Saccharomyces cerevisiae S288C: one gene and its partners. The protein of the gene in region 1 binds, or shares a complex with, the protein of each later gene. Each region holds a gene or a part of one and is shown in the gene's direction. Other genes may lie near its edges.

The links.
Region 2: SDS3 (region 1) and PHO23 share a complex: the UniProt entries of both Saccharomyces cerevisiae proteins name them as parts of the RPD3C(L) complex.
Region 3: SDS3 (region 1) and TOD6 share a complex: the UniProt entries of both Saccharomyces cerevisiae proteins name them as parts of the RPD3C(L) complex.
Region 4: the proteins of SDS3 (region 1) and SAP30 are in contact, whole or in part, in a cryo-EM structure (PDB 8HPO), measured with the Saccharomyces cerevisiae proteins. Residues at the interface, in NP_012182.1 of Saccharomyces cerevisiae: Ile21 (codon at 3,421), Lys24 (codon at 3,430), Val25 (codon at 3,433), Ile28 (codon at 3,442), Tyr29 (codon at 3,445), Phe32 (codon at 3,454), Arg36 (codon at 3,466), Gln39 (codon at 3,475), Tyr40 (codon at 3,478), Arg43 (codon at 3,487), Arg64 (codon at 3,550), Arg67 (codon at 3,559), Asp68 (codon at 3,562), Glu70 (codon at 3,568), Glu71 (codon at 3,571), Glu72 (codon at 3,574), Arg73 (codon at 3,577), Asp74 (codon at 3,580), Leu75 (codon at 3,583), Val78 (codon at 3,592), Arg81 (codon at 3,601), Leu82 (codon at 3,604), Pro321 (codon at 4,321), Phe322 (codon at 4,324); in NP_013990.1 of Saccharomyces cerevisiae: Gln76 (codon at 1,988), Tyr79 (codon at 1,997), Arg113 (codon at 2,099), Asp117 (codon at 2,111), Asp125 (codon at 2,135), Leu127 (codon at 2,141), Thr128 (codon at 2,144), Gln130 (codon at 2,150), Gly131 (codon at 2,153), Leu133 (codon at 2,159), Leu134 (codon at 2,162), Leu138 (codon at 2,174), Gly139 (codon at 2,177), Thr142 (codon at 2,186), Tyr143 (codon at 2,189), Ser144 (codon at 2,192), Arg147 (codon at 2,201), Asn148 (codon at 2,204), Asp154 (codon at 2,222), Arg156 (codon at 2,228), Thr178 (codon at 2,294), Pro182 (codon at 2,306), Gln183 (codon at 2,309), Ile185 (codon at 2,315), Tyr186 (codon at 2,318), Lys189 (codon at 2,327), Asn190 (codon at 2,330), Phe195 (codon at 2,345), Lys196 (codon at 2,348), Met197 (codon at 2,351).

Annotation. Positions count from the first base shown.
Region 1 is NC_001141.2:198,956-206,619, reverse strand, and holds SDS3 (Sds3p), read left to right. Parts: upstream 1-3,360; coding exon 3,361-4,344; downstream 4,345-7,664. Other genes in the region: phosphopantothenate--cysteine ligase CAB2, read left to right, coding at 1,967-3,064; KTR7 (putative mannosyltransferase), read left to right, coding at 4,577-6,130; YIL086C (uncharacterized protein), read left to right, coding at 6,159-6,467; AIM19 (Aim19p), read left to right, coding at 6,501-6,974; AVT7 (Avt7p), read left to right, coding at 7,217-7,664. UniProt on the Saccharomyces cerevisiae protein: Component of the RPD3C(L) histone deacetylase complex (HDAC) responsible for the deacetylation of lysine residues on the N-terminal part of the core histones (H2A, H2B, H3 and H4).
Region 2 is NC_001146.8:439,710-447,103, reverse strand, and holds PHO23 (Pho23p), read left to right. Parts: upstream 1-4,745; coding exon 4,746-5,738; downstream 5,739-7,394. Other genes in the region: YNL095C (uncharacterized protein), read left to right, coding at 264-2,192; 40S ribosomal protein eS7 RPS7B, read left to right, coding at 2,789-2,932, 3,278-3,706; PLS1 (Pls1p), read left to right, coding at 6,185-6,307; Ras family GTPase RAS2, read left to right, coding at 6,534-7,394. UniProt on the Saccharomyces cerevisiae protein: Component of the RPD3C(L) histone deacetylase complex (HDAC) responsible for the deacetylation of lysine residues on the N-terminal part of the core histones (H2A, H2B, H3 and H4).
Region 3 is NC_001134.8:113,997-122,284, forward strand, and holds TOD6 (Tod6p), read left to right. Parts: upstream 1-3,592; coding exon 3,593-5,170; downstream 5,171-8,288. Other genes in the region: type 2C protein phosphatase PTC3, read left to right, coding at 1-1,172; YBL055C (3'-5'-exodeoxyribonuclease), read right to left, coding at 1,577-2,833; SAS3 (histone acetyltransferase), read right to left, coding at 5,383-7,878. UniProt on the Saccharomyces cerevisiae protein: Component of the RPD3 histone deacetylase complex RPD3C(L) responsible for the deacetylation of lysine residues on the N-terminal part of the core histones (H2A, H2B, H3 and H4).
Region 4 is NC_001145.3:793,157-800,363, forward strand, and holds SAP30 (Sap30p), read left to right. Parts: upstream 1-1,762; coding exon 1,763-2,368; downstream 2,369-7,207. Other genes in the region: TPS3 (trehalose 6-phosphate synthase/phosphatase complex subunit), read right to left, coding at 1-213; YMR262W (putative endodeoxyribonuclease), read left to right, coding at 570-1,511; CUE1 (Cue1p), read left to right, coding at 2,649-3,260; YMR265C (uncharacterized protein), read right to left, coding at 3,384-4,769; RSN1 (Rsn1p), read left to right, coding at 5,362-7,207. UniProt on the Saccharomyces cerevisiae protein: Component of the RPD3C(L) histone deacetylase complex (HDAC) responsible for the deacetylation of lysine residues on the N-terminal part of the core histones (H2A, H2B, H3 and H4).

The DNA of each region.
Region 1 (7,664 bases):
GTTTTGTATTTTTATGGTTTTTTCGGCGGTATTGTCCATCTCGGGGATGGCGATATAGTGTACAATTGGTAAGGTTTTGATAAAAAGAGTTTGTTGGTCTTTTGATTCGAGTTCAAGATCGGTTAGAACTCGCCTTACGTGCTCTACATTCGTTCAGGCGATGTCCCTCTTTCTTACAATAGAAGCATAGCCGATTTTTTATACATTCTTCTCTGGATGCGTTGTTATTTCTCCTGTTTCGATGATTTGACATTGGTTTATTGTAAGATCTTCTTGTCCTTACGGTGTGGACGTATCTATTCTGGGTCAGATTATCTTCTGAATCATAGTCAGAGTCGTATTCTTCTTGTAAGTGGGTTGTGGCACCGATGATAGTGTCTCCATCAGCATCAAGTTCGAATCCTGGGAAGAATCTTTCAGTTAGTGCGGTTGTCTGGTAAGCCTCTTCCATGGCGTCTTTTAATGTCTCTGGTTTGTGCATTCTGACAATATTATAGGTTTCCTTTGTCAATAGCCTAGTATATGTCATTATGGCAGCTTTTTCGGTCATGAAGTCTGGTGGCATTCTGTCCCAAATCTTTCTGAATCGTTGGTTGAGACGCTCAATACCAAGTTTAGCTTCGGAAAGTTGCGTGATTGCATTAAAGATTTTATTGATATCTGGTGGCTTATAGAAATGTTGATATAATCCTTGTATGAATGTGTCGAATGTTATTTCAAGTATACCTTGTTCTTGTACAAAATCATTAGCCCACTGAGCAGCGGGGTTTAATAAATGTCTTCTGCAGTACACAATACGACTGGCATCATTCGGCCAAGATATCATAGACATGTTTAGCATTATTTCGGAGATAAAGTTTTTCAGTTTATGCGAGTCATTTCTACCTCTGAAGGTCAAAGATGGTTGGATCGGGAAGTTAGGAAGGCATTCTACTGGGAGTTTTGGATAATTTCCTCCTCCTGGGATTTGATCCATAAAGCTCATACTGGGGTGTGGTGTAGCTAGGTTCGGCTTTTCGATGGTTCGTTTGAACAATTAGTAACCTTTAACGCTACCAGGTGTTGTATTACGGGCTCGAGTAATACCGGAGTGTCTTGACAATCCTAATATAAACAGTCTTAGGGAAGTAACCAGTTGTCAAAACAGTTTATCAGATTAATTCACGGAATGTTACTTATCTTATATATTATATAAAATATGAATCATACTAAGTGGTGGAAGCGCGGAATCTCGGATCTAAACTAATTGTTCAGGCATTTATACTTTGGGTAGTTCAGCTAGGGAAGGTCGGGTTTTGTCTCATGTTGTTCGTTTTGTTATAAGGTTGTTTCATATGTGTTTTATGAACGTTCAGGGTGACGTATTGTCATACTGACATATCTCATTTTGAGATACAACATGTTCCATGATATGGAAAAACGTATACCAGTGCTACAAACCCTGTTAACAATTAAATTCTTATTACTTCTTGCACAAAGATGCTAACACTTTACAGCTTTGAAAGTAACAGGAAGAAGTGATGCTGTGACAATTAACAGGGTATTTTTTTTTTCACTTCTACTTAAATCGGAGTTACAATTTATGATAAAAAAATCAAGAAAAAAACCTGATTATGCTAAGAAAGTAGAGGCGACGATGACCACCTATGGCCTAACCTAACTATGAACAGATGGTAGGCTCTAAATTGCGTGCCTGAAATCTGCGGATTTGATATGTAGGCGATGTTTTGGGTATTTTCCACCAACTTTATTGGCAAGGGAAGAATTCGATGACCCGAATTCGCCAAACGACAAAAACTGGAGGAGTGACCTATTGTTAACGTTTTTTTTTTTTTTTTAAAGGCATTGTCATCAACAGGACATCTGTATAAGAGGCTAAGACAATTACGCACACAACGCTTTTATTAGTTGTCATAAACTGTGTAGATTAGCAGCAGACACTCCTTTTTTTCTTCATACTATAGCAATGCCACCTCTACCCGTGCTCAACAGACCTCAAATTCATACGTCTGTTACTGAAATAAGTCATGCAATTGATCGTACAATCAAGGAAGAGCTCTTTCCCGTTGCCTACACTACTGAAGAAGAGCAATATTTCAAAACTAACCCTAAACCTGCCTATATCGATGAATTGATTAAGGACGCTAAAGAGTTTATTGATTTGCAGTATTCCCTGAAAAGGAACAAAATAGTTCTTATCACCTCTGGTGGTACTACTGTTCCATTGGAAAACAATACAGTACGTTTTATCGATAATTTTTCTGCAGGTACTCGTGGTGCATCGAGTGCTGAACAGTTCTTAGCGAACGGATATAGTGTTATTTTCTTACATAGGGAATTCTCATTAACTCCGTATAATAGGTCCTTCTCCCATAGCATTAATACTTTATTCTTGGACTACATTGATTCTGAAGGTAAAATCAAACCTGAATTTGCTGAGAATGTTTTGAAGAACAAAAAGCTTTATGACAAGTATATGGAGAAAGAGGAGAAACTACTTTTACTACCATTCACCACGGTCAACCAATACTTATGGTCACTGAAAAGTATAGCCAAGCTATTGAATAATAGTGGTTGCTTGTTTTATTTAGCTGCTGCTGTCAGTGATTTTTTTGTTCCATATTCAAGACTACCTCAGCACAAGATTCAATCAGGAGACAACGGTAAGATGGGAGCAAATAATGACACTGAAGGTACAACTAGGACTACGCCTGATGGTAAACTGATTGTGAATCTTGACCCTGTCCCTAAGTTTTTGAGAAGATTAGTGGAATCATGGGCCACTCAAGCGATGATCGTTTCGTTCAAATTAGAAACTGATGAATCCATGCTGCTTTACAAATGTACACAAGCCCTGGATAGATACAACCATCAACTGGTTATCGGAAACCTTTTACAGACAAGAAACAAACAGGTCATTTTCGTATCCCCTGAAAACAGAAAGGGAGATTGGGTACGTTTGGATGAAAAACACCATAGCATTGAAGAGATGATAATCCCAGAAGTCATCGCACGCCATGACAAATGGGTGGCGCATTCGAAAACTAAGCTAGCTACGAAATAAAACATAGCTCTTGTCTGTAATCAAAAAAATTTGCGTCAAAAAAAAAAATTAGATGTATGTAAACCTTTTTATTGAACTGAAAATTTATCTTTTATCAAATCTTTTTCTTCTATGCCTTAATTATGTTTTCAGGTATCTTTTTTCTCATTATTTAATTTAGCTTATGTATTGATCATTTCGCTTGAGATTTCAGGAAGAAAAAACGCAAACAATTTTTCAGCTAAAATGAACCCTTGGAAAAGCTTTAAGAGAACAAGAGAAACTGTAGAGCTCAGTGTGCATTGTCTTCAAGATTGATGGCTATTCAAAAGGTTAGTAACAAGGACTTGTCCCGCAAGGACAAAAGAAGATTTAATATCGAATCTAAAGTTAATAAGATTTATCAAAATTTTTACTCAGAAAGAGATAATCAATATAAAGATAGACTGACAGCATTGCAAACGGATTTAACTTCTCTGCATCAAGGTGATAATGGCCAATATGCCCGCCAAGTACGAGATTTGGAGGAAGAAAGAGATCTAGAGTTAGTCAGGTTGCGCCTGTTTGAAGAGTACCGTGTTTCTCGTTCCGGTATCGAATTTCAAGAAGATATTGAAAAGGCTAAGGCTGAACACGAGAAACTCATTAAATTATGCAAAGAAAGACTGTATTCGTCTATAGAGCAAAAAATAAAGAAATTACAGGAGGAGAGGTTACTAATGGATGTGGCCAATGTGCACTCCTATGCCATGAATTATAGCAGACCGCAATACCAGAAGAACACGAGAAGTCACACAGTAAGTGGTTGGGATTCTTCGTCCAACGAATATGGAAGAGATACAGCAAACGAAAGTGCTACTGACACGGGAGCTGGAAACGATAGAAGAACGCTAAGGAGAAGGAATGCTTCTAAAGACACGAGAGGTAACAACAACAATCAAGATGAATCTGATTTTCAAACTGGTAATGGTTCTGGAAGTAATGGCCATGGTTCTAGACAAGGGTCGCAATTCCCCCATTTCAACAACCTAACCTACAAGTCAGGCATGAACTCTGACTCAGATTTTCTACAAGGTATAAATGAAGGTACTGATCTATATGCATTTTTGTTTGGCGAAAAGAACCCCAAAGACAATGCTAATGGGAATGAAAAGAAAAAAAACCGTGGTGCTCAACGATATTCCACCAAAACAGCTCCACCTTTACAGTCTTTGAAACCAGATGAGGTCACAGAGGATATTTCCTTGATCAGAGAATTAACAGGTCAGCCTCCGGCTCCTTTCAGACTAAGGTCTGACTAATTTATTTTATGCTGCAAACCTTCCACTTTAACTTTGTATTATATTACATTAGATGGTTATATTTCAATGTGAGCTCTTTTTGTTTTTGCTTTCTTTTCTCGGATACAAGTGGAAAACGAAAAAAAAAAATTGGCTAAAATTTACTGTATACATCAGGCTAACAATCTGTGATTATAGGCACAGTTGTACCAAAGAAGGGCTAGAATATACATCATAATTAGATGCAATTAGCATGGCTATAAGATTGAATCCAAAAGTCAGAAGGTTCTTGCTGGATAAGTGTCGACAAAAACGATATGGTTTCCTCTTTTTAGGATGTATCTTCGCCATACTTTACTGTATGGGGACCTGGCCATTTTTCGCAAAAGATATTGTACATGATCCAAATAATTTGCCTTATTCCTTACAGGATTATTCGACTGACAAAGACGAGCCATTTTTCCGGGGCTGCACTGATACAAAGCTGTACTTGCAAAATCCTGCTTACTCCAAAATGAACGCATCTTTCGTTATGCTAACGAGAAACGAAGAAATAGAAGACGTACTGAAAACTATGAGAAGTATAGAGGGCCATTTCAATAAGTGGTTCAAATATCCGTACGTTTTCTTGAATGATGACCCCTTTACAGATCATTTTAAGGACCAAATTCAAGCTGCAACTAATGCCACTGTAGAGTTTGGCACTGTTGATGAAATTATGTGGGAGTTTCCTGCTAAGGTTCGTAATTCATTGCAGTTTAAGGCTTCATTAGAAGACCAAAACGATCGCGGTATAATGTATGGTAATATGGAATCATATCACAAGATGTGTCGATTTTACTCCGGGATCTTTTATAAACATCCATTAGTTTCCAAGTATGAATGGTATTGGAGAATAGAACCTGATGTGGACTTTTTTTGTGACATCTCGTATGATCCCTTTTTCGAGATGGCCAAACATAACAAGAAATATGGGTTTACCGTACTTATAACTGAACTGTACTGGACTGTCCCCAACTTGTTCAGAACAACCAAAAGCTTTATAAAAAAAACGGCAGGTTTAAAGGAAAATCTCGGCACGTTGTGGAAATTATTTACATTTAATTATAATATTCTAGATACAGATGATGAAGAAATTTCTAGGTGGGTCAATTTTCCCTGGGATGCAAAGCCAAAGTTGACAGAAAAGTTGATGGTAGACTTTTTGCTAGAGAATCATGGTCAAGTCAATAATGAGGAAGATTTGGAAGGTATACAATATCTCGTTGAAAGGGCCCGCTCTAAGGTGCCAATGCTAGAGGATTCCCTTGAAGGGGAAGATTACAATTTGTGTCATTTTTGGAGTAACTTTGAAATTGCCCGCGTTGATTTATTCGACAATGAGATCTATAACGCCTATTTTAAATTTTTGGAAGAGTCTGGAGGTTTCTGGACTGAAAGGTGGGGTGACGCGCCAATTCATTCAATTGGGTTGGGAATGACCTTGGATCTAGAAGACGTTCATTATTTCAGAGACATTGGTTATAGACACTCATCGCTGCAGCATTGTCCGAAGAATGCCTTACAAAGCCAAGAAAATCTCAACACTTTCGATGAAGGTTATAACTTCGGATGTGGATGTCGATGCGTGTGCCCCAAGAAAGGTGAAGACATCGAAGACCACTCCACCCCTTGCATGGATATTTTTTTTGAATTGCTTCACGGCAGGGAATATGAGAAGGAATTCCCTGGTTGTTACAAGCCCTCCATAAAGGACAAAGACGTGATTGAAGAGATCAGAAGAGAAAATTTTAGAGTAATTGAATAGATACAGTGTTTTCTATACATTTATACGTATGAACAAAATTATAAAAGAGTCTACCAACTTCTCCAGATATCTACGAACTGGCGGTGTACTCAACAGTCTTCGGACCACATCTAAGTTTGTTTACATTAATAACAATTCATATTTAACTCATGGAGGTTTTGATGGCAATGTAGCTACTATTTTCAATATTTCAGAATTCAATTACATCAATTCTTCGGCCAAGGGGTCACTTCTAACTTATAAAAGCATTACCTTCTTTTGTCCAAGATATTTCAAGAAACGGCCTTTAGGGAGACATGCGAAGGGAAAAGGCAAATCTGACGAAAAGATTCTATAAACTACGATTTCCAATATACTTAACACACAAGAAATGTCTGCTAAACCCGCTACTGACGATGCCAAAGATGAACTTCTATCACCATTTCGCCGGCTATATGCATTGACAAGGACACCTTATCCTGCGCTCGCAAACGCAGCACTATTAGCATCCACTCCGGTGCTATCCCCAAGCTTTAAAGTGCCTCCAACGCAATCTCCTGCCCTCTCGATACCAATGTCTAGGGTATTCTCTAAATCTTCTACTGCCAGAATCGGTATAACTACTAAAACCGCCCTTTTCTTTTCTACAATGCAAGCTATAGGTGCATACATGATCTATGACAACGACTTGGAAAATGGGGCTGGCTTCATTGCTACATGGTCCGCCTTATATTTGATTGTAGGGGGCAAGAAGTCCTTTAGTGCGTTAAGATATGGAAGAACTTGGCCGTTGGTGCTATCCTCGGTTTCATTGGCCAACGCAGTCCTTTATGGCCAACGGTTCCTTGCTACCGGATTCCAGTGATGCTTACATCTATTAATGTCTTAATATTTAATTTTGTATCCTCTGTATTATCTGTATGAACCACGTGACTTAACATGAATGGATTTGCTTCCACATCTTTCACCTCTTATCATACGTTCATAACTTCTTCATCCGAAGTCAGATTTGACCCTCAAATAGATAAGACGCCAAGAACAAGCGTCAACGGAAAGGCGAATTCTACAATCAGGACATAGCATCAAAGAGAAAAGGAATTCTAAGGTATGGAGGCTACATCAAGTGCTCTTTCGTCTACGGCGAATCTCGTTAAGACAATAGTTGGCGCTGGTACACTTGCCATTCCGTACAGTTTTAAAAGCGATGGTGTTCTGGTAGGGGTTATTCTTACATTATTGGCGGCGGTAACATCCGGTCTGGGTCTCTTTGTGCTATCGAAATGTTCCAAGACCTTAATTAATCCAAGAAACTCTTCTTTCTTCACATTATGCATGCTCACCTATCCCACTTTGGCCCCAATTTTTGATTTGGCAATGATAGTTCAATGCTTTGGTGTGGGCTTAAGTTACTTAGTTCTTATTGGTGATCTCTTTCCAGGACTGTTTGGTGGTGAAAGAAATTATTGGATAATTGCATCAGCTGTAATCATCATTCCCCTATGTTTAGTGAAGAAACTAGATCAATTGAAGTATTCTAGTATTCTAGGTCTTTTCG
Region 2 (7,394 bases), on another chromosome or scaffold:
AAGAGCACAACGTTCTGCCTGAACTCTTATGCTCATTTTGTGCATACAAGTTGCCTTTTTGTGCCATATTAGGATATATTGCCTTCTGAATAAAACTATTCAATTCTCATCACTTCCGCAGTTAGAGAACGCTTTTATGGCATATTGTTACAAATCATCGCTAAAAAAGATATAAACAGTGACTAATTAGCGTCAGCGCAATTTTTTTGGAGAAGTTATAGAATCAAACAGAGAAAGGGATTGAAACCTCAAATTTTCATCAGATGGTGCACATTACTCTGGGTCAAGCGATATGGGTGTCAGTTAAGCCGATAATCAAGATTTATTTGATTATAGGAGTCGGCTTTCTGATGGCTAAAATGGGAATTCTTACGGTTGAAGCAACAAGAATTATTTCTGATATCGTGCTAACAGTTTTACTACCCTCTCTGTCATTCAACAAGATTGTCGCTAATATTGAAGATAAAGACATCAAATCTGTGGGAATTATCTGTCTGTCTGCCCTCCTAATATTTGGTTCTGGGTTCTTTTTTGCATACGTTGTTAGGCTATTCCTGCCTGTTCCTAAACAATGGTACGGTGGTATTCTTGCCGGTGGTATGTTTCCAAATATAAGTGATTTACCAATTGCATATTTACAATCTATGGACCAAGGGCTTGTATTTTCGGAAGAAGAAGGTAACAAAGGTGTGGCTAACGTCATTATATTTCTGACAATGTTTCTAATTTGCATTTTCAATTTGGGGGGGTTTCGACTGATTGAAAGCGATTTCGAGTACAACGACGATGAAAGCGCCGTTAGGGTTTCAGAAACGACAAAGACACAGCCCGCAGTAAGTGCAAACACAACTAATACAGATACTAGCGAGCGTTTCTTCTCAAACGAACAACAGCTTTTCAACAATAAGTACACCGCTCGCGATAGTCTCACTGAAGCTATAGGTACAAAGGGTGAAAACGCAGACGTACCACCAATTTCAAGGAGATCAACAAATAGTATAGCTCCCCTGTCACTACCAGACACTTCTTCGAATTCAAAGATTACAAAACCAGTTCAGGTGAAGGCAAGAAATACTATTGCGTGCACTCAAAGCGAAGAGTCACAGGCAACTCGTGGTTCAAATCCATTAGATAGCCAATCATCTGCTTCAACAATACATTCTTATAATACGTCAGAGAGTTATGAGAGTAGCATAGATACTATGAGAGCACGTAGAACCGCGAGCCAGCCGAGAGCTTACAATACTACCACACTCCTAGAAGAGAACTGTTTAGATGAAAAATGCCCAAAAAATATGTCTATGGCGGCATTGGAACCTATCCGCTCCATTGATATGCGTGCATTACCTTCTCAAAATATACACCATCTTATCAGAGAGTACTCCAACGTTGACCAGTATGGTCATCAAAGGAGGAATTCCAGTTTACGCGGCGCTGATATGAATGATGTGCATTCAATTAGCTCAAATTCCACTTTACAGACTATAAAAACTGCTAACCTAACCAGGATCTTAACATCAGATGCCACTGTAAGTAAAAAGGATATTGAAACATCCGGCGAATCATTACCACAGTGGATGAGAAAATTTTCATTAACTCCATTACTTGTGTTTTTCCTAAAGAATTGTTTGAGACCGTGCTCTATGGCCGTGATCATCGCCCTAACTGTTGCATTTATCCCATGGGTCAAGGCTTTGTTCGTGACTACCGCTAATACTCCTCACATAAGCCAAGCTCCTGACAATGCACCACCATTAAGCTTTTTCATGGATTTTACAGGTTATGTCGGTGCCGCATGTGTTCCATTTGGGTTGATATTATTAGGAGCAACTTTAGGAAGATTAAAGATTGGCAACCTTTATCCTGGATTTTGGAAAGCCGCTGTGACACTCGTCATTTTGAGACAATGTGTCATGCCAATTTTTGGTGTCCTATGGTGTGATCGGTTAGTGAAAGCTGGATGGGTTAATTGGCAAGATGATAGAATGCTACTATTTGTTATAGCAATCAGCTGGAACTTGCCAACGATGACTACCCTTATATATTTCACCGCCAGTTTTACGCCGCCAGAAACAACTGCGCCAATCCAAATGGAGTGTGTTTCATTTTTCTTAATGCTGCAATACCCGCTAATGGTTGTTAGCTTGCCATTTTTAGTGTCTTACTTTCTGAAAGTACAGATGAACCTTTAGTTTTAATCCATTAAACAAAAAATTATTACCACTCCTAATCACTGTTTTAGGGTGGGTTAAAATTAACATTCTCCATTTTTATATAGAACTAATAAAAAACACCTACTTATAGACACGACCAAACTTTCCACAACCTTTCATCAGAGAGAAATGTTGATCAAGTTGAATGCGTGAAAGTAGCAATTCGAAACAACAACTACCTGTCATTCTGCATAGTAGTAGTTACGAAAGGCACAGAAAATAACAAAAAAAAAAAAAAAGTCAATTTTCTACGGTCTCCATCCGTACCTCTTTAAATCCGTACATTATTGTTTTGCTTAATTTCAATATTTCGGAAAAAGCGAGCGCCCTGGTAAAATGTGGTTCAAGCCTGCGAGCCTTTGCTTGGTAACTCACCAAATGCAATTCAGTCACGTTCCACACAGTTTGGGTTTCCAGCCTGGCTTTAGGGAAGAATGGGCTCACTAGGCGTTCATAATACGCGGAGGGGGAAATACCAAATGCTATTGATTATGGTTAAAATATGTGTTATTTGACTTTGTATATACAAACAGAAGAGAAACCAACACACTAAAGACTAGACACATAACTGACCAATGTCCTCTGTCCAATCCAAGATCTTATCCCAAGCTCCAAGTGAGTTGGAATTACAAGTCGCCAAGACCTTCATCGATCTAGAAAGCTCCTCTCCAGAACTAAAGGCTGACTTGAGACCATTGCAAATCAAATCTATCAGAGAAGTATGTTAAAAGTTATATAATTTGGAAGCAGCAACATTGTGATTTCTTCTAAAGGGGTTCTTTGCAGTAATTTTTTCAAAAAAGAGTGATTTTGAGCAGTATCTGTATGAAATTTTCATGTGTTCGAGAAAAATAGTAATTCCGAGAGCTGTCAATACCATGAACGTTGCGATGAGCCTTTGAACTATAAAGGCCTCCTTGGTCAGTACCAATATCGATGAATAAAATAGAAGCACGCGAAAAAGACCTTACCCCAAGGAGAAGAATCACAAACCCTTTTTTGTTATGAATGAACCAATTCAGTTACTAACTTTATTTCAACGCTGCTTGATTCTTATTGTTTAGATTGATGTCACCGGTGGTAAGAAAGCACTAGTCCTTTTTGTCCCAGTTCCAGCTTTGTCTGCATACCATAAGGTCCAAACCAAATTGACCCGTGAATTGGAAAAGAAATTCCCTGACCGTCATGTTATTTTCTTGGCTGAAAGAAGAATCTTGCCAAAACCATCTAGAACATCTAGACAAGTCCAAAAGAGACCAAGATCCAGAACTTTGACTGCTGTTCACGACAAGGTTTTGGAAGACATGGTTTTCCCAACTGAAATTGTCGGTAAAAGAGTTAGATATTTGGTTGGTGGTAACAAGATCCAAAAGGTTTTGTTAGACTCCAAGGATGTTCAACAAATCGACTACAAGTTGGAATCTTTCCAAGCTGTCTACAACAAGTTGACTGGCAAACAAATTGTTTTTGAAATTCCAAGCCAGACCAACTAAATAGTGAGATAACTATCATTCTCATCATTTGTCATACTTAAAGAAAATAATATTAAGAAAAAATAATAAAAAAAGAAACATAGTTATGAGAATACAAAAGGAGGTTTCCAAAAAGTGGGCTTTTTTAATTCGAGTAAAATAATTATGAATGTATACTTAAATATATTTTGTATCTGTCAATATAGAGATGCTTTAATTGGTGTTTTGACATTTTGGAATACATATTGGGTTGATTTCCCAAGTTCTCGCTGCAATCAGATAAAAAGGAAAAAAAATAATGGTTGCTAAGAGATTCGAACTCTTGCATCTTACGATACCTGAGTATTCCCACAGTTAACTGCGGTCAAGATATTTCTTGAATCAGGCGCCTTAGACCGCTCGGCCAAACAACCACTTATTTGTTGAAGAAAAAGCATTATTTATCGCTAGACAACGATACGTCCATCAACAACCGTTAGTTCTTTCACATTGATATGCGGATTACTTATCTGAAGGAAAGGAAAAAGGCGTGGAACAAGTGAGCATTAACATAACCATCTGAAATCTTAGATGATCCCAAGTATGTGTAATTAGATCCGCCTCTTCGCCCAGCACATTGTCCATGCATTATCTGCTTACCTCTACGCGTACCTTGACATGGCGTGTTACGTGTTTCAACTTTGTATAATCAGAATTTCATTTGAGTATATTTTACAAGTCAAAAGCCCAAATGACGTATACTTGAAATAATTGAGGCACGTCCAATTGTGAGTGGCAAACCTTTTTTTCGGTATTCTAGATAGAGCTAATCGCGTATTTGCAATTATAGTTTACAATTCTTAGACGATTTCCGAAGAAAGTTAAAAATGCCCTTGAAAAAAAAATATGTAGGAAAGAGTGCATGCACATGAAGAAGAAAGAAAGAGCTAGGGAAAAAACGAAAAAGGAGCCTAAGGAAAAGAGTTAGGCGTTTACAACAGGACGAACCCGGAAGGAGAAAAGTTTGTAGTCTTGCAGTATCACAAACAGCAACCACGTTCATAGTCTGAAATACGTACAAATGAGTTCACCAGCGAACCTATTCCCTGGATTAAACGACATAACTGACGTGCTGGAGGAATTCCCACTGGCCACCTCCAGATATTTAACATTACTACACGAAATAGATGCAAAATGTGTGCATTCTATGCCGAATTTGAACGAGAGGATAGATAAGTTCTTGAAGAAAGACTTCAATAAAGATCACCAAACACAAGTAAGACTGCTCAATAATATCAACAAGATTTATGAAGAACTGATGCCATCGCTGGAGGAGAAAATGCATGTCTCATCCATTATGCTGGATAATCTAGACAGATTGACGTCCCGGTTAGAATTGGCGTATGAAGTCGCAATCAAGAACACAGAAATTCCTAGAGGTTTAAGACTGGGTGTGGACAACCATCCAGCAATGCACCTCCATCATGAACTAATGGAAAAAATAGAGAGCAAATCAAACAGCAAATCGTCGCAGGCACTGAAGAGCGAATCAAGAAGAGAAGCCATGGCTGCCAACAGGAGGCAGGGCGAACATTACTCCGCCAGCACACACCAACAAGACGACTCAAAGAACGACGCAAACTACGGAGGCAGCAGGCACGAGAGCCAAGACCACACTGGTAACAACACAAACTCAAGAAAAAGAGCCAACGCTGCCAATACCAACAACGCCGATCCAGAGACCAAAAAACGCAAGAGGAGAGTTGCCACCACAGCCGTTTCACCAAGCACTATCAGCACGGCAACTGCCGTCAATAATGGCAGGATAGGTACATCTACAGCGTCCAGGGGAGTTAGCAGCGTCGGAAACAGCAACAACAGCAGGATATCAAGACCAAAAACCAACGACTACGGCGAACCGCTCTACTGCTACTGTAACCAAGTGGCATACGGGGAAATGGTGGGGTGTGATGGCGCAGACTGTGAGCTAGAATGGTTCCATTTGCCATGTATTGGACTCGAAACTCTACCTAAGGGCAAGTGGTATTGCGACGACTGCAAAAAAAAACTGTGAAATAGCTCTCGGGCGAATATCGCCTTAAGGAAATATCTACTAAATACCGAATATATACATATATATATATCTTAGCTACATATATATATATCTTAGCGTTTTAACGGGCGTGGCCGTATCAATGGATCTGCAAGATACTTGGGCCCTACCGGTCTAGATAAAATATTCAAATCGATGGTGATGACGGCACGATAAAACGTAATAAATGATGAAATGACTTGTCACGGCGTAGCAGCGCCAGCAGCTCAGTCTAATCGCCGTACAGTGGGTGGTGTGGCTAATCGCTTAGGCTTTTTATTCAGAAGGACCTTTTCATTCACCTCGCCCCCCTTGGAGGTTCCTGCCTGACCCCTTTGCCCCTGGCCTCGCCCCTGCGCCATGTCTCTGCCTGGAGCGTGACATTTAGGACGGTGAAGCTAGGCAGGCCTTCAGAAATTAAACGGAACATGACAGCAAAGACGAAACAAAGCTGGAATAAGGGGATCTGGGAAAACGGGAAACAAGGTTCACATCAGCAAACATTTCTACCGAAAATCTGGGTAAACATTTATAGTACCCCAACATCTTAAGTTTTAGCCGTTGTCTTCTCTTATCGCCTAGAATCGCTCATTTCAAGCGTAACGCAATCCGGCTTTTGTTTTTTTTCCATTTTATTCATCCACTCTTTATCTGACTCTTCTGCACTATATTAATCAACTAGGAGAAAATTACTTGAGCAGAAAGATACGAGAGAATTACGGATAAAAAAACCAAGTTAACCGTTTTCGAATTGAAAGGAGATATACAGAAAAAAAAATGCCTTTGAACAAGTCGAACATAAGAGAGTACAAGCTAGTCGTCGTTGGTGGTGGTGGTGTTGGTAAATCTGCTTTGACCATACAATTGACCCAATCGCACTTTGTAGATGAATACGATCCCACAATTGAGGATTCATACAGGAAGCAAGTGGTGATTGATGATGAAGTGTCTATATTGGACATTTTGGATACTGCAGGGCAGGAAGAATACTCTGCTATGAGGGAACAATACATGCGCAACGGCGAAGGATTCCTATTGGTTTACTCTATAACGTCCAAGTCGTCTCTTGATGAGCTTATGACTTACTATCAACAGATATTGAGAGTCAAAGATACCGACTATGTTCCAATTGTGGTTGTTGGTAACAAATCTGATTTAGAAAACGAAAAACAGGTCTCTTACCAGGACGGGTTGAACATGGCAAAGCAAATGAACGCTCCTTTCTTGGAGACATCTGCTAAGCAAGCAATCAACGTGGAAGAGGCGTTTTACACTCTAGCACGTTTAGTTAGAGACGAAGGCGGCAAGTACAACAAGACTTTGACGGAAAATGACAACTCCAAGCAAACTTCTCAAGATACAAAAGGGAGCGGTGCCAACTCTGTGCCTAGAAATAGCGGTGGCCACAGGAAGATGAGCAATGCTGCCAACGGTAAAAATGTGAACAGTAGCACAACTGTCGTGAATGCCAGGAATGCAAGCATAGAGAGTAAGACAGGGTTGGCAGGCAACCAGGCGACAAATGGTAAGACACAAACTGATCGCACCAATATAGACAATTCCACGGGCCAAGCTGGTCAGGCCAACGCTCAAAGCGCTAATACGGTTAATAATCGTGTAAATAATAATAGTAAGGCC
Region 3 (8,288 bases), on another chromosome or scaffold:
CTATACTGAAAAAACAGGAGAGCTTCAAGAGCGGTATGTTAGAGCAGTGCTTAATAGATACCTTTTTAGCTACAGATGTTGAGTTGTTGAAAGATGAAAAATTAAAAGATGACCATAGTGGTTGTACAGCAACTGTGATATTGGTATCTCAATTGAAAAAGCTACTAATTTGCGCCAATTCCGGTGATAGTAGAACAGTTCTATCTACTGGTGGTAATAGTAAAGCAATGTCATTTGATCATAAGCCCACATTGTTAAGTGAAAAATCTCGTATTGTAGCTGCTGATGGTTTTGTTGAGATGGACCGTGTTAATGGAAATTTAGCGTTATCAAGAGCCATAGGTGATTTTGAATTCAAATCTAACACAAAATTGGGACCTCATGAGCAAGTCGTTACATGTGTTCCTGATATCATTTGTCACAATTTGAATTATGATGAGGATGAATTTGTTATTTTAGCATGTGATGGTATTTGGGATTGTTTAACTTCTCAAGAGTGTGTTGACTTGGTTCACTACGGTATAAGTCAAGGTAATATGACGTTGAGCGACATTTCATCTAGAATCGTAGATGTTTGTTGTTCACCCACAACTGAAGGCTCAGGAATTGGCTGTGATAATATGAGTATTTCCATTGTTGCTTTACTAAAGGAAAATGAATCTGAGTCACAATGGTTTGAGCGTATGAGATCAAAAAATTACAATATCCAAACGTCTTTTGTCCAAAGAAGGAAAAGTATTTTTGATTTCCATGATTTTTCGGATGATGATAACGAAGTGTTCGCAATAACCACCAAAAAATTACAAGACCGCTTGAATCGTAGTAAAGATAATGACGACATGGAAATTGATGATCTTGATACCGAATTAGGCAGCAGTGCTACTCCCTCAAAGTTATCAGGTGAGGATAGAACTGGCCCTATTGACTTGTTTTCGTTGGAGGCTCTATTAGAAGCCGGGATTCAAATAAGGCAGAGGCCCAGCTCCGACAGTGACGGCAACACTTCTTATTTCCATGGTGCTTCTTTATCAGATATGTTGGCATCTTTAAGCAATGCGGCTGCAGGAGAAACAGAACCTAATGATGCTGATGATAACGATGATAACGACGGCGAAGAAAACGGCAAGAATGAAAATGCGAAGAAGGGTTCCAAGATTGAAGAAATTGAATAATAAATATTGTCGAACCGTACTTTGCAACGAAAGAGTAGTCAAACTTTGTTATCTTTATTTGTTATTCCTCTTCTGCCGATGGATTGTTTTTTACTGGATCATCTTTGCGGCCCATATTGAGGAGATGGTGAAATTCATAAAAATCATTACGAGAGAATGATAAATTGTAACAGAATTTATAAATCCTATTCATATAGATACATCTGTTTTTCCTTACTCTGTTTTTATTTTGTTGGTAACCTTTGAATCCTTTTTGATGAAAAAAATAGAAAAAAAAAAAAAAAAAAAATGAAAGCAATATCGACTGTATGTATATGCGCACCATAATTTTCCTATTAATAGTTTAAGCATAATTAGTGTACTTACTAAAAATAATGTAACTTTGCTCTTTGCACCAATAGATGTTACTCTCCAAATATCTTACAGGTCGTCTTCCACGTGGTATCTATCAAAGTAGCCAGATCCACGTCCTTGACTTCCGATACGACAATTGCTACTTGTTCCATATTACAAGGCTCATTACGGCCCTTGACCATGTAAAGTTCTTCTGCATTCAACTTGTCAGCGAGCTTATTTTTCTTAACGGACTTGAATGCAGGGTATTCGAAATCCCTAACCTCCTGGTATTTGGCTAAGTACTGGAAAGATGCATGCGTTCTTTTAATCTCACACCACGGAGCATCTGTCTCTAATAACAACCTTTCTGTTGGTATTTGCTTTACAACAGCTAGATTTTCCTCGGTTCTCAACGAGCAACCGTTTACTCCTATGAAGATGTTGGGTGATAAGTTCAGTAATTTCTGCAAATCTATCGCAGAACCAGTGAATGAATGGACCACTAGTTTTCTATCTGGATGAAATTTGTAAAACCCGCTAGACGACGATGCACCTAACTTTTGTAGCTGAAAGGTATCCCTCTCATCAGTGAACCCGGCAATAAATCTTTCCAATATTTGAACAAAATCGTCACATGCGCTTCTCATATGCAGAAACAATGGATAGCTGCTGAGTTTATCGTTCAAACAACTTATTTTCAGTTGCTCTTCAAAAAAAACCTTTTGCATCTCTTTAGAACTATAGTGAAATCTGTCGTAGTCCAACCCGATCTCACCAATTGACCTGAAACTTGTATCATGAGGTTTTGCTTGCTGATTCATCAAATCATAAAGCTCTTTCAGTTTACCCTGTGCAAAAGATGGATTACTAATAACTTTAGCATATAGAGACTCATTATATGCTTCATCCATGGAAGGGTTATCAATAGAAGCGCTAGCCTTGTCCCCTTGACTAGCATCCGCAAACTCGTTAACGCAACATGGGTGAACACCTATTGTGTGATACAGCTTTAACGGGCTAAGATCTTTGACGCTGCTTACCAACTCAATGGCACTTTGAGACTCCGCTATGGATGATCCTGTAACAAGGGCATTTTTCACGTGCCTCTGAGCAGCACGCTCTAATAATTTTACATAATCTGCTGGATGGTACTGCTTACCATTGTAAATACCGTGAAACATAGGATCTGTCAGATTCAATCCAATATCATAGTATTTCAGCGGAGAATCCGTGGCAGTTGATGTCATGCTATAATATTGTGTCAAAATTGGTTTCCAGAGCCTAGAACAACTTTTGTTCGAGGATTTCAATAAGATGCCCCACATATAACTATAACAGTACTGGCGCCTCAAAAAAATGCCTTGGCAGCGAAAGTGTCCACCTTTAGTTGTCCATTGCTACCAGGACATCACCACTGGGCCCTTCCAGCATGCTGGAAAGATTGTTCTTAGAAGAGTGCTGTTCTAAGTAACCCGGCGTTAGTAGGGGCTAAGCCTTCTAGAAGGCCGGAAAAGGCTCAGAAATGCCTGCAGTGCAAAGCTTTTCAGGAACGTTACTAGCGCAAGTCTTCTGGCTGCTGTTTAGCAACCTCTTTGCAGGTATTTCGCAGCGGGATTTCGCAGGTGTCTTGCCTAGCGTATCAACACTTAGTAGCAGTTAGGTTCTAAAGTTAAACTCCACTTCCGTTCTTCTTCGAGTTCCTTTTTGAGCGGTTTGGCCTATCTTGTCTCATCATCTTGTTAGTGTGCGACGTTATCTGTGGGTGAGAGAGGCTATTTTTGGTCCGGTGAAAAAAAAATTTTTTCTCTGCTGAGAGCTGAAATTTGAAAATTGAGATGAGATGCGATGCGATGAGATGCGAGACCAATGCGATGAGACACTTTTCTACTTCCTTACACAGAAGTCGTGTATAGTTTTTGTACGTTGATATTAATAAAGGCTTTTCATATCATTTTGTTTTCAGGTAAACAAATCTGGCAAATCTCCACTGCTTGAGTCATTAAAACTACTCACTCAAGAAGGCATATACACGACAGTGGGTAGAGAAAAGAATATATCACTGTTCTTATTGAAGTTCCCTCGCGATGACGTTGCCGAAACTCAGTAGCGTTTCTGTTTCATCAGGACATGTTAGTGCCAACTCACATGGTTTCTCAATACTAAGCAAACACCCTCACCCAAATAATCTTGTCCATTCCCACTCACTTTCTCACACAAATGCGAAGAGCCACCTGCCTATCAGTAGCACTAGCACTAAAGAGAACAGCACGAACAAGGAGGAGGCGGAATCACTCAAAAAAAACAACCCCTCTTCTTGGGACCCTAGTGATGATATCAAGCTCCGCCACCTGAAAGAGATCAAGAACTTGGGCTGGAAGGAGATTGCACATCATTTCCCAAATAGAACTCCTAACGCTTGTCAATTCAGATGGAGGAGACTGAAATCAGGCAACTTAAAGTCTAACAAGACCGCAGTTATTGACATCAATAAGCTATTCGGCGTGTATGCGACTGGTGATGCTACCCCATCCGCGGGTACTCCGTCTGCGGAAGAAGCCGTAAAAGAGGAAGCTGTTGAGGATGAAGATATTACTGCAGGTTCTAGTGCTATCGAGGATTCTCCACCGGATTTCAAGCCATTAGTTAAGCCTAAATACATGGACAGAAAACTGATAACTCAAAGATCTACATCAACATTTTCGGACCATGAGCCACAACACACGAAACCAAGGAAACTGTTTGTTAAGCCAAGGTCCTTCTCTCATTCTATAACAACCAACACGCCTAATGTAAAGACTGCTCAGCAGACAAATCTAAGCCTTTATAACACTACTTCAGCAAAGACAAATAAAGCTGTTAATTCCAATGATTATGAGAATATTGGTCTTGTGCCTAAAATTATTATCAGGTCTAGAAGGAACTCCTTTATTCCTTCAACTCAAATCCCTCATTCAACGACGAAGACTAGGAAAAACTCGCATTCCGTAATTTCTTCTAGAAGATCATCTTTTAACATGATGCATTCAAGAAGATCATCCTTCAACTCTCACGCTCCTACGGAGCCTATTTCTAGAAGAGCTTCCTTGGTAGTTAGCCCGTATATGTCACCCAGAAGGTTATCTACATCGCAATCCGTTCATTATCATCCACAGCACCAATACTATCTTAACCCCATAGCGTCTCCCAACTGCAAGACAGACCACGCAAATGACAAAATCACGCACACGAGGACTTTCTTAGATATGCAAAAATTCGCTAATAAACACCCGTGGTCTAGAGAAGATGATGAAGTGCTACTTAACAATACGAAGGACAAACAAAACCATTTGTCGCCGCTAGAAATTTCTATTGTTCTGCCTAATAATAGATCCGAGTTGGAAATCCAACAAAGAATGGATTATTTAAAGAGAAAAGGACGTGTAAGTGGTTTTCATACAAATGAAGGATGCAAAGACGAGGAGGAGGAGGATGACATTGACCCACTGCACAAGGAGAATGGCATTAACACGCCATCGCAGCAATCGCAAAATTACGGTATGTTAGAGGCTAAACATGATAATCCAAAGTCTAGTGAGCTTTCTTCTATGACCAGCGCAAATGACATACGCAATGAGCAAGATGAACTTCCAGGTATAAATTCTATCTTTAAAAATATATTTTAAGCTAAGAGACGAATTTAGTTTGTTTTGACTATTCGTTTAATGAGTACAAATTAATCGCACCCACACATGTACACACACACATATATATCTTTATATATACACATAAAATTTATTCGTAGGAGAATTCTGTAATACTATTGACTACAAGGGTTCTTATTGCTATTAATAATGTTACATGTATATGCTTATATCCAATATATACCCATCGCCGCTTATTCTTCGTCATCCTCTATTAGAGTTATTTTTCTTCTTTTTCTGACTCTCTCCTTCCTTATGTGGCTTTCTATATCGTTTTCATCCTGCTCTTGTCCTTTTCTCTTCCCATCCTCATCATCATCACTGTCTTCTTCATATGTGTCTTCCTCCTCATCATTTTCTTCTGATATTTGCTCATCCTCAATGTCATCATCAAGGGTAAAGTCTTCGTCTTCGTCTTCATCTTCTTTGGCGTTTTCACCTACATATAATTCAGTATCTACATCGTTTTCTACTTCATCCTGCTCTAAACTTGATATTCCAGTATCGTTTCTCCTAGCTGCATGATTTCCAAGTGGTGTTTCGGAGTTTTTAATAGTGAAGCAGAGCTCCCAATGAGTTTCTGTACTAAATTTTGATCTTGGTATCCCTTTGCGATCATGGATGCTTTCCAGCACTCTTTTTTCCGCTTGATAGATTAATCTATCATTATTTGTGTTCTTATAATCACACATATACTCTGTTAAGGAGGAAACAGTGTCTTCAAAAAAATCAGTAGCAGGTACTTCCGGTTCTATGATATTGTTTACATGAAGCTTGGATGTTTTGTGCTCACTACTTCTTCTTCTTCTTCTTCTGCGTTTATTATGTGCTCTACTGTTGTTATAGTTTTCTATATGTGTGTTATTCGAAATTACCGGAGCCATAGTTTCATTTGTAAGAGCTTCGTCCGCTAATGCGGTGGGTTCTAAGTTCATCATCCCATTTATACCAAATGACGGCCCTAATATAATAGGTTCCCACAATAGTTTGTCATATTTGACGCGAGGATAGTTTTTTGAGCTCCAAGTTTTGTAAATATTTTCAATCCTGTTCCAAGAATCGATTTTAATAATATAGTTGAAATCATCCAAACTGGATAATGAGCGTGTTTTATGGCGATACAAAACTTGAAGTTGTTCCAATCCAAACACAACGTCTGTTGGTATCATTCCTGTTAGTTTAGCGATATCGTTTAGGCTAACCTGCTGAAAAGTATCTTCATTTTTATTATTTGATCGACGTCTAGCACTGTCTCTTAATTTTAATAGCACTTCAGCACATTTTATCTTCCAAAACGTTCTGTAAGTCAATAATCCTAAATCCGACAATGGTTTTTCAGGAGTTCCAAATTTTGACTCCTTTCTGGATAATAAATATGAAAATTCCATCAAAAACTGACCATATCCTTTCCTCTGGTATATGGGTAGAGTTAAAATACAACTTAGGTTATAGTCATTGGAGTTGAATTTTTCCTTGGAGAAATAGCCTACGAAATGGAATTTGGCTGCGTTTTGATAGGGATGGTTCTCTGTATCCTCTCTCTCCGTTAGAATATAGAATATAAACGGTTCAACATCGTAATACAAAGTCTTAGAATTGATAAAACATTTTGCCAACAGGCAAAGATTTTGACAATACAAGACATTCTCCCGCCCATCAATTTCCCAAACAGACAGCTTACCGTCGCGATAAATTTCATTTCCGGGGGGCTTAAAAGTTAGACACTTTAGTTGGTGTCTATAAAAAGTATATCGAGAAGTCATATATTTTAGGCAGAACTCACATATAAAAACCATTTTATTTTGGTTGATGTGTTCCGGAAAAGGAGATGTATACCAAGGTTTAATTTCATAATTTCGAAGAACAATGTATTCTATCTGGGAAAACCACACTTTATTTTTGATTCTTGGTACTTTCCCTTTCCTTTTTTTCCTATCTTCGTTTTCTTGATCGGTTTCATTATGATTGCAAAGTGATACGTTACCATTAATGTACGTTGCAGACTTAGAGTTTTCTAAAAATGTAAGAAACTTTATTTTATCTTCCCAGGTGGGTAAAGTTCTTTTTGTACTGAAATCTTTCATTTTTTTTATTGTTCCGCCGTATGGTACGTACCATTGCCAAGAATCGTTATCCCTGAATGGCGTATTATCAGAAGAATATGGGTACTCCATGTTTTCGGTTGCTAGATCCCATGTTTGCTTTAACCTGTTAACTCTTCTTTGAAACCCGATTAGAGGACCGGATGATGTTATATTTTTGTTAACTAAAGGTGCTATGACTGAAGATTTAGATATTAGTCTTTCAAAATTGAAAAATTTGATAGAATCATACTTAATTCTAACCTTCAACTCCTCGCTGACTTCAATATTAGGTTCAATAATGGGGAAACTTACTGCTCCCATCTTATTGTCCCTATTAACGATATTTTGAGAAGAATTTTCTGACGCAAGTTTGGACTGCTGGGAAATCAACCCTTTTTTTATTTTATTAAGGCCTTTATCAGACCGAACACTTCCTCTTATTCGATGTGATATACTGGCATCGGAGTTGAATAGTCGTCTTGTAGTTCTATGTCCATTTGTATCGCTTCTGACAAATTGAGAATGTATCAGATCATCGATCTCTAAGTTTTTCAATAATGCATTTTTTTTGGGTTTTGGCGATTCGTCGTTTGCTGTTAATGACATTATCTGCAAATTATACGGAGACTAATTAATGAAGAAGGAAGAAGAGAGAGGGCGGTATGAATAACACCTATGAGAAAAGAATAGCAATGCTTTTCCTTTTTTACCTTTTATATTCGTTCTTTCTTCTTTTGCCTCTTTTAATATGCTTTGTTTCTGTGCTATTTTCCCGACTCTTTATTTCAAACAATGAAGCCCCCAATTAATCAAGAACCACCAAAATAGCATGTCAGTTGAACACTCAACGACTAAAAAAACGAATAATTTCTTGTTCAATTGGCCTGAACGTTTGACTATGAAACTTTCTGCTCTTCTCTGATCATTGTAAACAAAGAAATGTCAATAAATTATTGTTACCCGACTTTCTATATACTACAAATACCGCCAATGATGCAGTGAGCAAGATATCAATT
Region 4 (7,207 bases), on another chromosome or scaffold:
GTTAATTTGCGCCTCCTGAGGTAAGCCAATATAATGAGAGCTTGCCGAAGTTACAGAACTGCTTCTTTCTTGCTTGTTGTTGCTCAATTCCTGGTTGTTGCAGTCTACCTTGATCATACTTGATTCAACCAGCTTAGCAGTATCCGAGTTGGTGACATCAGCCTCGAATTGAGGGGTATATGGTAAGAATAAAGAAGCGACGATAATAGTCATTGAGGTTGCCCGTGGTTATTAGTCTGTGGTTTTTTGAATAGGAAGCAATAAATTATAAAGCCAGGACCTGCAATAACGTTTGTACTGTTTTATTGTGATAAAAGATGAAGCGGAATAGCAACGGTACTTAAAACTTATGTCTTAGACTTAATACTATTGAATGTTTGCTCGTCCACTTGATGCTCCCTGGAGTTGCCGTTGCTGCGTGCTGAAGGGGATTAATTAATTCCAGGGGCACCGCGCGAAGCCCAGGAGGACAATTGATTACGTAGGGAAGAAAGGGCCCTTTTAGAAGACTGGCAATTGCAACTCTATCGAGGTTAGGTGTTACACTACGCTGTTCATTGAGGAAGTAGATGAATAAACTTGTTGATGCCCACTGTCATGTTATAACCGACCCAGACAACACATTCTGCGGTGATGATGGAGGGTCCCAGGGTACGTTGCGTTGCGTTATGTCATCAAACCCATATGACTGGAACAATTTGAAAAAATTGGCTGGCAGAAGCACAAGTAAAAACGATATATGCGTGGGATTTGGTGTGCATCCTTGGTACAGCCACTTATTTTATGTGGGAAGTCGGCGCGACAAGGTTTCTCACTATCAAGATGTACTGGAGTATAAGAATGAAGAACAGTTCGACAGTTTGGTTCAGGTGCTTCCCGAACCTCTAGATCTTGAAGAGTATATAAAAAGAGAGTTTAACGACACTTTGGTTAGTGTGATTGGAGAAATCGGTCTTGATAAGCTCTTCAGACTTCCTGCAAATGGTTTCTACATGCAGAACGAGAAGGCAAGGCTTACGACAGTGAAGGTCAAACTATCGCATCAAGAAACAGTATTCAGGCGATTTTGCCGACTGGCAAGGCACACAAGCAAGCCCATCTCTATACACGATGTAAAGTGCCACGGGAAACTAAACGATATCTGCAATGAAGAGCTCTTGACGTATCACTCTGTCAAGATATGTTTACATTCGTACACAGGCTCCAAGGAAACGCTTCTGGGCCAATGGCTCAAGAAGTTTCCCCCGGATCGTATTTTTGTGAGCCTATCCAAATGGATTAATTTTAAGGACCCAGAAGAGGGAGATGCCCTGGTCAGGAGCTTGCCCTCAACTTGCATACTTACTGAAACCGACTATCCTATTGACAATCCAGATCCGTCATACCAAAAGGCCCTTACAGAGCAGCTGCAGTATTTGAATGCACAAATCGCACGAGCATGGGACGAGACACTGGATGCCTCACAAGCCGCTTTGCGTGTATACGAAAACTTTCAGAAATTTATCAAGTGAAACGCTTTTGAGGTGGCAGCATAGCACTGTAATGAGATATATTAAGTAGGCTTGCTGTATACCATTTCTTGCTATGCATGTGTTTTAGCAAGGCAACGCCGTTCCGGAAGGGAAAAAGCGCTCTTTTTTATATACTGTGAAATTTTCAGATTTTAACTTAGAAATTATATAAAAGCGGTTGTGTATCTATTGTGATAATGCAATTCCTTTATAGTTTAGCAAATCGAAGGATAGGTATATACTGAGTAGTAATGGCTAGGCCAGTTAATACAAACGCTGAAACGGAATCGAGAGGCAGACCCACTCAGGGTGGTGGTTACGCAAGTAACAACAATGGCAGCTGTAACAACAACAATGGCAGCAATAATAACAATAATAACAATAATAATAATAATAATAACAGCAATAACAGCAATAACAATAACGGGCCTACCTCCAGCGGGAGAACCAATGGGAAGCAAAGACTCACAGCTGCACAACAGCAGTACATTAAGAATCTCATAGAGACACATATCACCGACAACCACCCTGATCTGCGCCCCAAGAGTCACCCAATGGATTTCGAAGAGTATACGGATGCGTTCCTGAGAAGGTATAAAGACCACTTTCAATTGGACGTACCGGACAACCTGACGCTGCAGGGATACTTATTGGGTTCCAAATTGGGCGCGAAGACTTATTCATACAAGAGGAACACACAGGGGCAGCACGATAAAAGGATACATAAGAGAGACCTGGCCAACGTGGTGAGAAGGCATTTCGATGAGCATTCCATTAAAGAGACAGATTGCATACCGCAATTTATATACAAGGTAAAAAACCAGAAGAAGAAATTCAAGATGGAATTTCGGGGTTGATCAAACGATGAGGCAGCCCTTTTGTGTATAAGTTATGTAAACTTTTAAGGTGGTAATTGTTAAAATGGACAGTAACACTTGTTTATTTGCTAGTATTCCATTTAGTTTAATGCCTTTTTGTATACGGTGCGGGTAGCTGTCGCGCCATTTTAAACGATCTAATATAACTGAGGTGGGCCTGTCATTGATGCATTGAATAGACAACTCATCAACCTATTTCTTATAAAAGGCGCCATAAAGCATTACAATCTACGATCGCGCAAACTTTTTTCTTTTGGCCATGGAGGATTCGAGATTGCTTATCACTTTGATTCTTGTGTTTGGAGTTATATTTCTGAAAAAATTCTTCCAAAGTAATCAGCATCCCTCAGCACAACGCTTATCCGCTACAGGTGTAAACGCACACGGACGTCCTCAGGGCTCCACGCAGAATGCCTTGAGAAGGACTGGTAGAGTCAATGGAGGTCACCCCGTGACTACTCAGATGGTGGAAACAGTGCAAAATCTAGCCCCTAACTTACATCCTGAGCAAATTAGGTATAGTTTGGAAAACACAGGCTCAGTCGAGGAAACAGTGGAAAGGTACTTGCGTGGTGATGAATTCAGCTTTCCACCTGGGTTTGAGCCCTCCAGGGCGCCAATGGGGGCCAATGCGGCTGTTGATAATAACGCTGCTGGTGGCGGAGAGTTTAACGATCCCAGAAAGAAGAACATGATTTGCGCTGAGAATCTACTCGATAAATTCCATGTGGATCTCAATGAAGATATGAGTAACTTAAGCTTTAAGGACTTAGACATTGAAGAGAGAAAGAGATTGTTGGTTTGGCAAGCCAGAAAGAATTTGGAGACAAAATTGCAAAGTGATAAAGATTTGCAAAGTTTGCTGACTTGAACGCTTAAGTGCTTGTCGGGAACACGCAAGTGTGCCCATAATGCGCATAAGTATATCTTTGTGTTTACTTATTTAAAATGACTAAATAAATAACCCAAAAAAAGGAAGAAAAAAATGTAATTATTAAGCATTGGAACACGGTATTGCTGCCAACTTGGCAAATCGCCCGAAAAATGCCTTTATTGGTATTGTATTGTCTAACGGAACCCAGTGAATATCTTCCTTGCAGTTTATTAGACGCTCTGTTACCACTTCTAAATCTTCAATTCGGTCTCTTTTGTAAAAATGACCAGTGACTATATATTCTGGAAAGAGAGTGAAAGTGTATCTGTTTGGTTCGGGTGTGGCTTTGAAATAAACCTCCAATGGCTTTCTTCTGTTGTGGTGGGCCGACGCGATGACGGCAAGGTCTGTGACTTGGAAGTGTACGATGCACTTCCCAGGCTGTTCCAGATAAAAAATTTGTGAAATATGCTGTACTTTCTTCTCAGAATCAAACGTGCGAGTGTCATTGTTTGACCATACCTTAGCGATTTCAAGTGCAGGGATATCTTTACCGGGTTCTGCGCACGGTATATACAAGGGATGTTCATACAGCTTGGGTCTGAACGTTCTTCTCCCCTTACGCCGCTTTAAGTACTTGATGACCTCTATTGATAATAGACGATGAGATGCCGTGCAAAGGATATAACCAATTTGTCTTGGAGTCCGTCTTAAATCAAACTTTTGTGAAGTGCTGAGAGCTTGGCTATTGTTCTTTCGTACCATGTCCATCACCATTTCAAGTTCCTGCTCTCTTGGCAGCGATTTGGTGAATGGTCGTACGGGGATCGCAGACCATTTCAGACGTGGTAGATCCAAAGAATGGAAGAAAGACTTGAATGCATCTATTTGGTGTATTCTATCATCATATATGGACAACTCCCGCAGAGAGGGATAATATTCTAAGAAATCCCGCATCAACTCTTTTTTATATTTGCTAGTGTACTCAGAAATTGCTCTTTTTTTTAGGCAAACTGCATTGAACCTAAACTCATTTTCTGAGCATTTCCAATGGCTCCTTGCCGTCTGTAAAGCATGCTCAATCAACTTATGGAACTTACTTTCCTCTCTGCCCGTTAAAACGATCGAGATAGTATCCTTGGCAGAATATGACTCCTCCGCCAATTTAACGATATCCGCATTCCACGAATACCTTCTCGGTTTAGTCTTCGAGATCTCAATAGCAGCCTGCAGAAACCCCGGCTCATTCCACCAGCCTCCATTCGGTAGCGTGCTCGATGTCAACAAATTTAGTAGCTCACGTGTATACAATTGCTCTGTAGGACCCGGCGTTGCAAATAATGTATTGTCGAAGTCGTATATGTGCAATTTCGTAATCGCATGCTCAGGAACCTCAAAGGGCACGGCCAACTCGCAAGCGCAACTATTCCATTTTCTGAGCACACGGTGATTGCCACATCTGCTGGACATCTCCCCTTTCCTTCGAAATTCTTCAAATTCTTCCATTATACTCGTTTGGGTTATGCAGACAAACAGCACATATGATAATTCATTTTTTTTCTTCCATTATACGCTATAGTAATGTAAGACCTGATCTACGGGTTCGTTTCTTCTATTTCCGTTACCCGCCGTGCACCACAGCATCGCTGCGGTTCCGTCTGCGTGAGTCGTTCTGCGCGAATCACTTCCCGCAGCTGACATCACAGGGGCGGCCTTTCCTGGCTACGATTTTTTAGCGGGAAAGGCACACCCTTTCTTCTCCTTTCGGGTATAAAGTTTCTTCTGTGTGGATTCTGTGGGCCAGCTTCGGTTTTGAAGTTGGAAAAAAATTCTTCATCTTTGTTTTTTTATCGTGGAAAAGGAAGAAAATACTTGATAACCAACAGCAAAGCCGCATGGCTTGGCACTCGATCTTGATGTTGTCCCGTGCCTGGTTGTATAATATTATTATTAATGGCCATTTCGTAATCAAATTTCGGTTTGTTGTTTTTTTCTATTTCTTTTTCATCTTATATATATTAATTCGTTTGCCTTTTCCGTTTCTTTTTGTTTTAGTAATCATAAGTTTACGGCTTAGCAGCAAGGGCAAAGGGACAAAATGAATAGTACTAATAGTACTAATAGTACTACAACAGCTACCAGTACAAACACGTCAACTCAACAAGTCGTTACTTCTTTGGTAAGTAATGGTACTATTTTTGGTGTTTTTGTCATAGCGTTCTTGATTTTGCGTATAAAACTAAAAAGGATTTATGAGCCCAAATCCTCATTCAATCTGATTAATGAAGAAAAAAAGCCAGAACCGCTACCGCAGGGCGTCTGGCAATGGCTGAAGCCGTTATTGAAAAAATCAGACAATTTTGTCATTCAACAAGCCGGTCTGGATGGATATTTCTTTTTGAGGTACCTTTTCATCATTGCAATTTACTGTGCTGTTTCCATGAGTTATATATTCCCTATTTTGTTGTCCATTAACGCCAGTAACGGTAACCATGAAAGCGGATTGAATCAATTGGCCTATCAGAACGTCAAGCACCGTGGTAGATATTTTGCACATGTTTTCTGTGGATGGATTTTCTTTTGGGGGTTCCTTTACATTATTTACAGAGAATTGTATTTTTACACCTCTATGAAGCAAGCTGTACTAGCGTCCCCTCGTTATGCTAAAAAACTATCCTCGAGAACCGTGTTATTCCAGACTGTCCCTAAGCAATACTTAAGTGAAGAAGAGTTTTCTAAGTTGTTTGATGGTGTGAAAAGAGTCTGGATCGCAAGAGGTTCCGGTTCAATTGAAGCAATGGTCAAAGCAAGGGACAATATGGCCATACAATTGGAAGGTGCTGAAACAAAATACCTGAAAGCAGCATTGAAAAAAATTAAGAAGTTAAACAAAAAAAGTCCGCAATTATCTGTCTCTGATAATATTGCTGAATATGTCCCTGACAAGAAAAGACCACATCATAAAATTAACAAGGTTGCTAAATTCTTTTTTGGTAAAAAAGTTGACACCATATCCTACATTAAGGAGGAGTTGCCCAAGTTAAACCAAAAGGTGAAGGCATTACAAGAAGATCATGAAAATTCATCCCCTTTCAACTCCGTTTTTGTGGAGTTTGAATCCCAATATCAGGCCCAAGTTGCCGCTCAGATCACCACATACCATGCTCCTCTTTTCATGACGCCTGTGTATATTGGTATTGAGCCATCCGATGTCGTTTGGTTTAATTTGAGGATGTTCTGGTGGGAAAGATTAGGTAGGGAAGTCAGTGCGGTTTCAGCAATTGTCGCGCTAGTAATATTATGGGCTTTCCCAGTGGCTTTTGTTGGTATGATCTCTAATATTACTTCCTTGACTAATGAAGTTAAATGGTTAAAGTTCATCTATAAATTACCAAAACAACTATTAGGTTTACTGACATCTCTGGCCCCAACTGTGGCATTGGCCGTTTTAATGAGTTTCTTGCCGAAATTTATTAGGGGTATGGCTATCACTCAAGGTGCTCCATCTAAGCAAAATGTGGAATATTTCACTCAACAAGCTTATTTCGCCTTTCAAGTTATCCAAGTCTTTTTAGTTACCACTCTATCCTCCGCCGCCACTTCCACAGTAACGGAAATTGTTAAAGAGCCCACGAAGGCTATGGATCTACTGGCTTCTAATCTGCCAAAAGCTTCTAATTTTTTCATGTCATACGTTATTCTACAAGGTCTGTCCATTTCATCAGGTGCTCTTTTGCAAATTGTTCCACTAATACTCTTTTATGTTTTAGGTGCCTTTTTAGATGGTACCGTTAGGAAGAAATGGAATCGTTTTTGTGGGCTATCCAGTATGCAGTGGGGGACAGCTTTTCCAGTTTATACAAACTTGGCAGTTATTACTTTCTCCTACTCCATCATTTCTCCGTTGATTTTATTATTTGCTGCCGTCGCGTTTTTCCTATTGT